Linked DNA regions of Mus musculus: all the other regions are reported to be linked to region 2. The links are microRNA targets in miRTarBase. Many come from high-throughput screens and were not tested one by one. Region 2 holds a microRNA gene; each other region holds the end of a gene's coding sequence.
Evidence for each region. Region 2 holds the annotated microRNA mmu-miR-346-5p (UGUCUGCCCGAGUGCCUGCCUCU, at 898-920, opposite strand). A microRNA usually pairs through its seed, bases 2 to 8, with sites in the 3' UTR of a target mRNA and lowers its output. Matches are read on the target gene's strand: a 7mer-m8 pairs with bases 2 to 8, a 7mer-A1 pairs with bases 2 to 7 and ends in A, and an 8mer does both.

Region 1: the mRNA of Nrip1 is a reported target of mmu-miR-346-5p. The part of its 3' UTR that is shown has no 7-base or 8-base seed match.
Region 3: the mRNA of Zfp689 is a reported target of mmu-miR-346-5p. Seed matches in the 3' UTR shown: 7mer-A1 at 1,121-1,127.

Annotation. Positions count from the first base shown.
Region 1 is chr16:76,288,465-76,291,814 of GRCm38, reverse strand. Nrip1 (nuclear receptor interacting protein 1) reads left to right here. Exons shown (of 4, transcript NM_173440.3): 4 at 1-3,350. The coding sequence ends at 633. Among named protein-coding and RNA genes, the nearest start is that of Gm30569, 11 kb to the left of the region's middle.
Region 2 is chr14:34,892,544-34,895,543 of GRCm38, reverse strand. It overlaps Mir346 (microRNA 346), which reads right to left and starts at 935; the gene lies at 838-935. All of the region lies in intron 2 of Grid1 (glutamate receptor, ionotropic, delta 1), which reads right to left.
Region 3 is chr7:127,441,118-127,444,117 of GRCm38, reverse strand. It overlaps Zfp689 (zinc finger protein 689), which reads left to right. Exons shown (of 3, transcript NM_175163.3): 3 at 1-1,982. The coding sequence ends at 164. Among named protein-coding and RNA genes, the nearest start is that of B130055M24Rik, 5.8 kb to the left of the region's middle.

The sequences.
Region 1 (3,350 bases), not on the chromosome of region 2:
CCACACAGGAGTGACTCTGTCCCCGACACGAAAAAGAAAGGACACAAAAACAACGCGCCCGGCAGCAAACCTGAATTCGGCATTTCTTCTTTAAATGGACTGATGTATAGTTCCCCGCAGCCTGGCAGTTGTGTGACGGATCATAGGACATTTTCATACCCGGGAATGGTAAAGACCCCTCTGAGCCCTCCTTTCCCAGAGCACTTGGGCTGTGTGGGGTCCAGACCAGAACCTGGGCTTTTGAATGGATGTTCCGTGCCCGGTGAGAAGGGACCCATTAAGTGGGTCATCGCAGATATGGATAAGAATGAATACGAAAAAGACTCTCCAAGACTGACCAAAACTAATCCGATCCTCTATTACATGCTCCAGAAGGGAGGGGGCAATTCTGTTACCACACAAGAAACCCAGGACAAAGACATCTGGAGGGAGCCTGCGTCAGCCGAGAGTCTCTCACAGGTTACAGTCAAAGAAGAGCTACTTCCCGCTGCAGAAACTAAAGCTTCTTTCTTTAATCTAAGAAGCCCGTACAATAGCCATATGGGAAATAATGCTTCTCGCCCACACAGTACAAATGGAGAAGTGTATGGACTTCTGGGAAACGCGCTCACCATAAAAAAAGAGTCAGAATAAATGTGTACCTGCCATACCACTTTGGGTCTTTTTAAAATTTAGTCAGTATGAACTTGAGATCTGTATAAATAAGAGCATGATTTGAGAAAAGCATGGTATAACTGAAACTCCTTCCTTTTGAAAGTATTGGTCACTGGTGATGTTTAAATATGCATACTAATTTTTGCTTAACATTAGATGTCATGAGGAAACAATTGAACTCGAGGTTGGTTGTTTACTATTTCTGTATGCATCAGATAACAACTGTGACTAGCCTACGAATGAACCTGTTTTTATAATCGTAAATAAGAGGCATACATTAAAATGCACAACTTCACCAGTAGTGGATTGATGCAACTTGCTGTCTTTATTAGGGTTGTTCATTTCCCATCTCAGAAGCCAGCCTACATAACGTGTTTGTAACATCCAAACTGTTAGCTATTTGGAAGATAACCAAATTAGGAAAAAAAAAAAAACCCAGAAGCCTTGTGCTGATTCACACCTCATCAGTCTAAAAGTAAGAAAAAGCAATGCTTACATTTTTTCACTTTTGCTAAACAAAATTCTTTTTAACTCTTGGAAGGGGTTTTGCGGTTCCCAATGAGTCTGCCCCACCCCAGACCTTTTCAATATATATATTTCTTTAAACCTTTTACTATTTAGTAACAATTGATTACAATAGAGGGGAGTTTAATAGATCCTTAAAAATAAAAGGCAGATTTCCATTTTTTTATATTTTGACTACTTTACTAAATTAATACTCCTCCTTTTTCAAAATTAGAGAAGGAAATCTTCACTCACCTTCAGGCTGTTTCCTGGACAATTGACTACTTAGAAATCGTTTTTAACAAAAGCAGAAATGGGTTTTCTTTGGATGGTTTTTACCGTCTCTTTTGAAAGTTGATCCTCACCACTCCTGTGGGACCCGTGACTTTACAACCAGGATTTCTTAATTCTGGACAGAGACACTGCATTCATCTGACTATCACATGAGTCTCTGGAACAGTTATTTAAATGCAGACTCCTAGGCAGCATCTCAGGTCTACAGAACACCGTCTCCAAGTGGACCCGGGCGTCCTCCTTCCGCCTGTATCCTGACATGTTCTGTATGTGCTTCTTCCGCACACTGATGTTTGAAAACTGTGGCTTAGGACTTTTCCAGAACATGAGACTTTAAAGTAACTATCTGATGCCTATACTTTTCCCCCAATACAGTCACATATCCACTCAAAATTTGCAATATCATAGTTCCAATCTTACTATTATATCTTTGGAAATCGGGTTCGGAATACTTTTTATGACAAAAAAAAAAAATTGGGTAGAGGGGACAACTTTCCTATCTGGGTCAACATCTCAGGAAAATCTGTGATTATTTATTTGCTCTAATTAGTAAGATTAACTTAATTAGCCTTAGGGGTGGAATAACAGGGCCACTTAGCAAACTCAGGTGATCCCAGGACGGTTGGGAAACTTCTTGAATACATCCTTACCTGCTAGTCAAACTGTCCTCTGCACAGCAGTGTTTATGGAGTTAACAGATTCAACCCAAGAAAGACATCAAACTCAGATTACCTGAAACCAAATCAAAGGGCACTTATCAATCCATGACAGGACCTGCACAGTCACTTCACGGATCAATTCATTTTAAACAGGCATTAAAAGTAAATACTGACATTGTCTTGAAAGAACTTAATATATAATTGAGCCACGTGGAATTTCAGTCTTGAAACAGGTTGGTTTTTAAGTTCATTTGTTTATAGCCCACAGTTCCTCCTCCAGGCAATATTTTTTGTTTTTCAGTTTTGAGCCAGGTTAACAACTGACTTATCAAAAACTTACTGTGTACTCAGCAGTTAAGTAGGAAGAAGTTTATTTGGAATTGTTATACATACTTGAAGTTGTTTCTAAGATTTTTTTTATATATATTACAAATGGACATTATTTCTTAATTACCTAAAATTCTAAATGGTTATTTTTTCTCAAGATGATTTGTAAATAGTTAATGGGTATGTTATATGGTAACCAGAGTGTATGTTATGCAACATCAGAGAAAGGAGAACGTGTATGCTTATTCTGCTATGAAAAATTCCACTGGCCAGTGAGGTACTTTACTCCATGTTTATACTGTGACAATCTCATTGTCTACACTATATAAATAAGCTTTACACTTAGTCATTTTTCTTGGTCATGGTGAAAGGGCTGGAGCCTTAGAAATATATTGTAGGATGCTGGAGTTCGTCCTCTGTTCACGGCGCAGTAGTCTTCTTACAATGGAACAGCACTTAGGTCAGGGAAACGTCCAGAGCCAGCATCGCTTCGCTTTGTTTTGTTTTGTTTTTGTTGGAATGAGAATATGTAAGACAAAAATAAACATGCCTATGAAGGATGCTGTTCTGACTTTCTAGAGAATAACCCCCCCCCCATGTTTTGTTTAGAGAAATCTTAAAGAAGAGAAAGGGCATAATACATCCACAAATTCACTTTGCATATGTAGATTCAAATATGCACATACACATTTTCGAGGACTATTTTCGATATCTGGGCAGTTTCTTCCTAATAAAGTCATTTGTGAATGGGTACTACAGCTCTCATTGACATCAGTAAGGTAGCATTACCTGTTTATTCTCTGCTACATCTTACAGAAGAATAAACTGGTGAGAGTATATATTTTCTATATATATACATATATATATATATAAATGTGTATATATATATATTGACTTGTTACATGAAGATGT
Region 2 (3,000 bases):
TGCCCCACCCCACTGCACTCTATTGAGAGGAGCATGCCATTCAGACAGACTGAAAATGCCCAGCTCTCAGTTATACAGAGGATCCAGATGATGAAAATGAGAGAGGGGAGGGGACTTGTCTAAGAACCCAGCAAGTTCACGGCAGAGCTGGGAACATATTCCAGTTGTCTTCCTTCCAGCAGGTTCATGGCTTCTGTGTTGATGTTGTTTCACAGTGACCTTGGATGCTCACTTAGCTCATTCTCATATAGAGCCTTAACTAAACTCTCCACTTCATGCTCAGGCTGAGCCATGGCAGACTGTAGGTTGCTGGCTTCCCCCATCCCAGCAGCTTTGTCACTGTGGAGCTAGGAGGCCAACCCCACGAGCAGGTATAACCTTACCCCTTGGTCTTCAATGTCATTTTCTTCATCTTTGAGTTCTCTGCAACATCTCTGTCGCCTGGACACTTAATAGAACTCCCAGCCTGCCCTCCCTGTGTGCCCTTAGCACCTTGTCCCACTTTCTCCCAGGGCTGGAGTCTGTAACCTGCCCCACAGCTGGGAGACATTTAGTCCCTGCTGCTCTCTACCCTGCCACACAGCCCTGGATGAAGGACTCCAGATGCAGCTTTATCTGACGAAGTGGACCTGACCTAAGCTTCACTACACTTCTTCAGAGCCCATCTTCAGTCATGTCCACTCCCTCGCCACTCTGTCCTTAGGGCCAGACTTCCAGGATCTTCCCTGACTTGGCATAGTGATGCCCATGCTGGCTGTGAAGGTCAGGTGTGCTGTAGACCAGAGGCATGACGTCGTGAGTCTGTAACCAGAGAGAGGAGCCAGCAGTGTGTCCCTCGAAGGAGCAGCTCTGCCCAGGCAGCTGCAGGCCCAGCCCCTGCCTCCTTCAGAGCAACAGAGAGGCAGGCACTCGGGCAGACAGACGCCCAACACAGAGACCTCCTAACCGCCTGGTCGCAGCACCTCGGCCCTGTCTTCCGTGGCATCACAGATGAGGAAGCCTCTCCAGGAGGCCAACTCTGTTGAGCAGAGACTCAGAGACTCGCAGGGGAAAGAGCTGCTTCTTGGCCACCCTCAGAAATCCTCCCAGTAGTGCCATCCTTCACAGAAGCCTGGGACCTGCACTTGCCTGGCCTTTTGCTTTTACTGGCTAGTTAAGTAACTAAAGTAGCATGACCAGAAAGATGTCGCCTTGGCTACACACTAGGGACAGCCATAGGCTGCTCAACAATCCTTCCCAGCCAGCCTGACCTAGGCCTTCAGTCTGAATGGCCGCCTTGCCCAGCTTCCTTTGGACGGATACTCCTCAAACCCTGTTCCATCTTTTAAACTGCCCTCACTCCTTTCCCCTCCACCTCCCTGACGTTATCTAGCCACCCCATCCTTCTCCCTCTCTCTTTCACTTTCTCTTGTTTACTCCATTGGGACTCTTGTCAGGCCTCAGCCCCTGGGACAGTAAGCCACATCCTAACTCACATGGCATTCCAGTCTTTTCAGCTGCACCTGTCCCAACCATCTGTGCCAGGCTCTATGTCGCATGATTGAAAAGTCAAGAATTAGAGACAGCTCCCATTCTGAAGGTGAGGATACTGAAGCTTGCCCACATAGACTCACAGTTTCTAAGTGCAGTGGCACGAGGTGAACTTGAACTCAGATGTGTCAGAATCCAGAGCGCCATGTTTTACTCCTAGCCCTGCCATCTCCCCAACACTTTAGCTTTCATGAGCATTCAGGGGTTCCATGTGGAGTCCAGCTCTTCCAGGTCCATGGAGGAGGAAGCAGGAGTACCGGGCTCCCACACATGACGATGACACTGATCAATGGTCTGTCTTCCTTCAGTGCCACTGAGTGTCACCTGTACCTGTCTTTAGCGGAGAGGAAGTCAGCAGTTTCCAGCGATGAAAGGCTGCTCCTGATTGGACATCATAATCATATTTGCCCAAAAGTTATTTTCATTCTGCAACTTTCCTGGTGACAACATCAAACGTCAAGTAATGCCTCTGCAGATGGGCAACGCCATTGGTCTCCTATCAGCACTGCCCCCACTCACGCTGCTCAGCCTCCTGAATTCTGTGCCCTGCCACTCAACCTCCTGGTCCCAGACCTCAGAGATTCCTCTTACCCAGGGACCCACTTGCAGAGTTGTCCCAAGCTTCCCAGTGGGGCAGCAAGAAAAGAAATAGGTCCCCACAGAGTTTGGGGCTGGAGCTACTCTGCTATTCATCCTATACCCTCAACACCACCATAGCTGACTCCCAAACACACCTGTGACCCTGGCTATAACTCCGAGGCTTGCCACAAAGCCCCCAGTGCATAGCCACAATGACCTCACTACCACACTCCCACGAGTGGCCCTCTAACTCCACGCAACCCTTTAGAAAACACTCATAGGACATCCCTGACACACACACACACACACATACAAATGCACACAGAGAAATATCAATAACCCCAAACCACTCTACCAGGCCCCTAAATTCACTTCCTGGATTCCTAGAACTTCCTCACAGCCAAGTACCCCCCCCCGGGGGGGGGGCTCTGCACTTGTCCCATACTCCACCCAAATCTGACCCAATTTTCCCTGTCAAGTGTGCATGGGAACCAGTCTTCTCGGATGGGGACAGGTGAGAGGAACACTGTCTTGCTCCAATCCCCAATTCCAGGTCTCTAACATTGACAAACCCAGCCCAGAGCCTCGGGATCCAATCTGCAGCATCTCTTCTAGGGCATGGATTCCGGCCACCAGACAGTGCTCAGCAGACAGCCACAAATGTGTAGCGCATAATAAATGCACAAGGTGTGGGGGGGATGCACCTAGTGCCTCATTAGCTTGGCCTCTAAAGCTGGGTCTCATTAGCCCAACTTCAGACAAAGAAAGCTCCAAGAAGCAGACGGGGAGGTTGGGGGGAGCTGAAGTTGTGCCATCAATGGGAAGGGCTATAGTCAGATTAAATCCTGCTAGAACCTGAGCCTCTACTGCCCGGGAACCACCCTGACACAT
Region 3 (3,000 bases), not on the chromosome of region 2:
ACCAGCTTCTGCACACTGGGGAAAAGCCTTTCCCCTGCCTTGAGTGTGGCCGGTGCTTCCGCCAGAGGTGGTCCCTGGCTGTCCACAAGTGCTGCCCCAACACCCCCAATGGTAGCCCTAGACCTCTTATAGGAGGGCCCAGCCAGAGGAGCAGTGCTCTTTAGCATAACAAAGATGACAGAAAGTCACTTTATGGAAGGGTGCAAAACTCAGGAGTAGCTGCCAGAGGTCCTACAGAATGGGAGCAGACCCAGAGCCCTGGCCCGCTGCTCCACAGCCCGAACCCAGAACACTGGGTGCCCTACAGCATGTCTGAAACAGTTACCAGGCGACATGATGCCATGTGATTAAAGTTTTCCAAGCTAACTTGTCTTAAAATAATATGGGTGTGTTCTTCTCCCAGCCTCTTTTAGGGGCTGCCTTCTTGGTTTGTGTATACAGATAATATTCAGTCAGGAGACTCATTTATAGAAGGCAGAACCTCCCCTGCTCTGCCTCTATTTCTGTATCATGGGGAAAGCCTGAGTTTGGCTCCATATTTGCAACACTCCTGCCAAGTGATAGGCCATCGCTGAAAAGGAGCTCTCTACCTCACATGCGGGCCGTTTCCTTGTAGGATGGTGCTAATTTTTAGGAGGCTATTTATTGCATTCTCCTTTGTAAACCCAGTCTAGGGTAAGCTTAATACTTTACCCACAGGGTAGCTCTTCAGAAAACCTAATCAGTCTATTTTGTGCCCAGGTTTGTGTGTGTGTGTGTGTGTGTGTGTGTGTGAGAGAGAGAGAGAGAGAGAGACAGAGAGAGAGAGAAAGAGAGAGAGAGAGAGAGAGAGAGAGAGAGAGAGGTTGAATGTGTGATTCACCTCAGCCTTCTGAGTAATTGGTAGTCTGGGCTCTGGTCAACTGTTCTTTTTTTTTTTTTTTTAAGGAGTATATGCATAGTTTAACTATTTATTTATATTTTACGGGTTTGAATGTTTTGCCTACATGTATATCTCTACACCATGATTGGGCCTGGTACCCAAAGGAGGACAGATGAGAGAATCAGAGCCCCTGGAACTGAGTTACAAATGTTGTGAGCCACCATGTGCTGGGAATTGAATCCCAGGTCCTCTGGAAGAGCAGACAGTGGCCTTAACTACTGAGCCATCTCTCCAGCCCCTGGTCATTCTTGGAAGAGTGGCTCTTGGTTCCCACAAGTGAAATCTGTCTCTTCTTAGGGATCATACAGAAACAAAAAGAGTATCATGCCATGTGCTGTATACACCAATCTTAACTACTCCAGGCCACGCTGCTTTGGGGTGATGATTTCTTTATTATGTATACATGCCTGTTCTGCATGGTCAGAAAAGGGCACCAGATCTCATTATAGAGGGTTATGAGCTACCATGTGGTTGCTGGAAATTGAACTCGGAACCTCTGGAGGAGCAGTCAGTGCTCTTAACCACGGAGCCATCTCTCCAACCCCAGTTTCAGACCTCTACACACCCTCACCTTTCTTCTTCAAGACGTAGTAAAACCAAATCTTCACCACTTTTGAAAAGTTGGTTCAGGCTGGGTGTGAGGCATCAACACAGTACACTGAAAGGTTTAAGAGGAAATGGGGTGATTGGTACCAAGCAGCAGGAGGTAGACTTCAGTTTGCTACGGGTGACTAATAGCTGGAAAAATGGCACCCACCTGACTAGGTGCTCAGTAAAACTTTACTACCTTCTTGCCTTGGGCAGCTGTACCGACGTGGTACATCAAATATGACTTCTGCCAACAGCTGAACTGGGTCAACCTCCTGCATCTGCTTCTCTATGGAGCATCTGCCCTCAGCTCTGGGTGGGGGCAGATGGCAAACACTGACTTGTAATTAATTACCTCTGTTTAGGTGTGTAGCAAATTGATTGTAACCATTTGTCTGTTTTTTCATGGATAATGAGTGCCCTCTGGTTAGGGGCAGTGCCAGATAGGATTTCATTAAAATATTTAATGGAAGAATTCTGCTCCTTCTGGAATTACTCTTCACAAAACATGAATCTAGTTCTTTGAGAAGAAATGTAATGTTATAGCAGAGATTGAACCCCTTAGACCAAGCCTTTCCTTAGCCAAGACCTGGGTGCCTACCAAGCCCCCAGTGTTAGTTAGAACTGCCTCTGTTAACCACATACTAACAAAGTCATTCCGCATACAGGAATTTTCCAGTTGCTTCTGGCTCCAGGTTGTGATTTAAAATGAAAGCTATTGTGGCTAACTTCCATCATGTCCATGGAGAGCAGAGATGAGAACTATGTAAGCTTCTTAAGGCCCTTTTTTGCCTGGGTCCATTCCAAATGTGATTCTGGCACTTTAATCAGTGAAGATCCCGTTGTGTTTCCAATTAACTCCTCTTTATAAACTCTATGGGGAAAACCACAGTGCTGTTGAGAAGGGCTGGTCCATGCATGATTTCTCTCTTAGCCCTAACCTCAGTTGCGCCTCCAATATTTCAGATATCAGATATTCTTAGCAGTGAGTACCTATTGTTCACCAAAGGACCACAAAAAGAAACGATCCACATCCCACTGTCCTCTCCCAGTGCCCCAGTGTACCTACTAAGTGCACGTGTTCCATCAGTTCTTGGGGAGCCCTTCAGGCGTGAAGTTCATTCATATGCCGGGTTTCATCCACCTCTAGTATTCTCTTCTGCTGTAGAATTTTTTAATCCCAATTTGGGGTTTCTATCCCACCTTGATCATTCAGTTCGTGGATAAAAGACACACAACCTTTATTATTTACAATAAGCCTTAAACAGCACAAGAGCTGTGCAGCTATCTCTCTACCCTCTATGCTATTAGAATCTACTTTCCTATTGATAACCCTGAGTTATTACTATGTTTCATCTGGGCTGCTCTTAACTCCAATTGGCCAGCCCTCAGGATCATGAGGCTTCCCCATTCACCTTCTCCCCCTCATGGTTCTCCTCTGACCTGCCAAGCCGTCTATGTCTCTTCTGCCCAACTATTGGCTGTTGGCA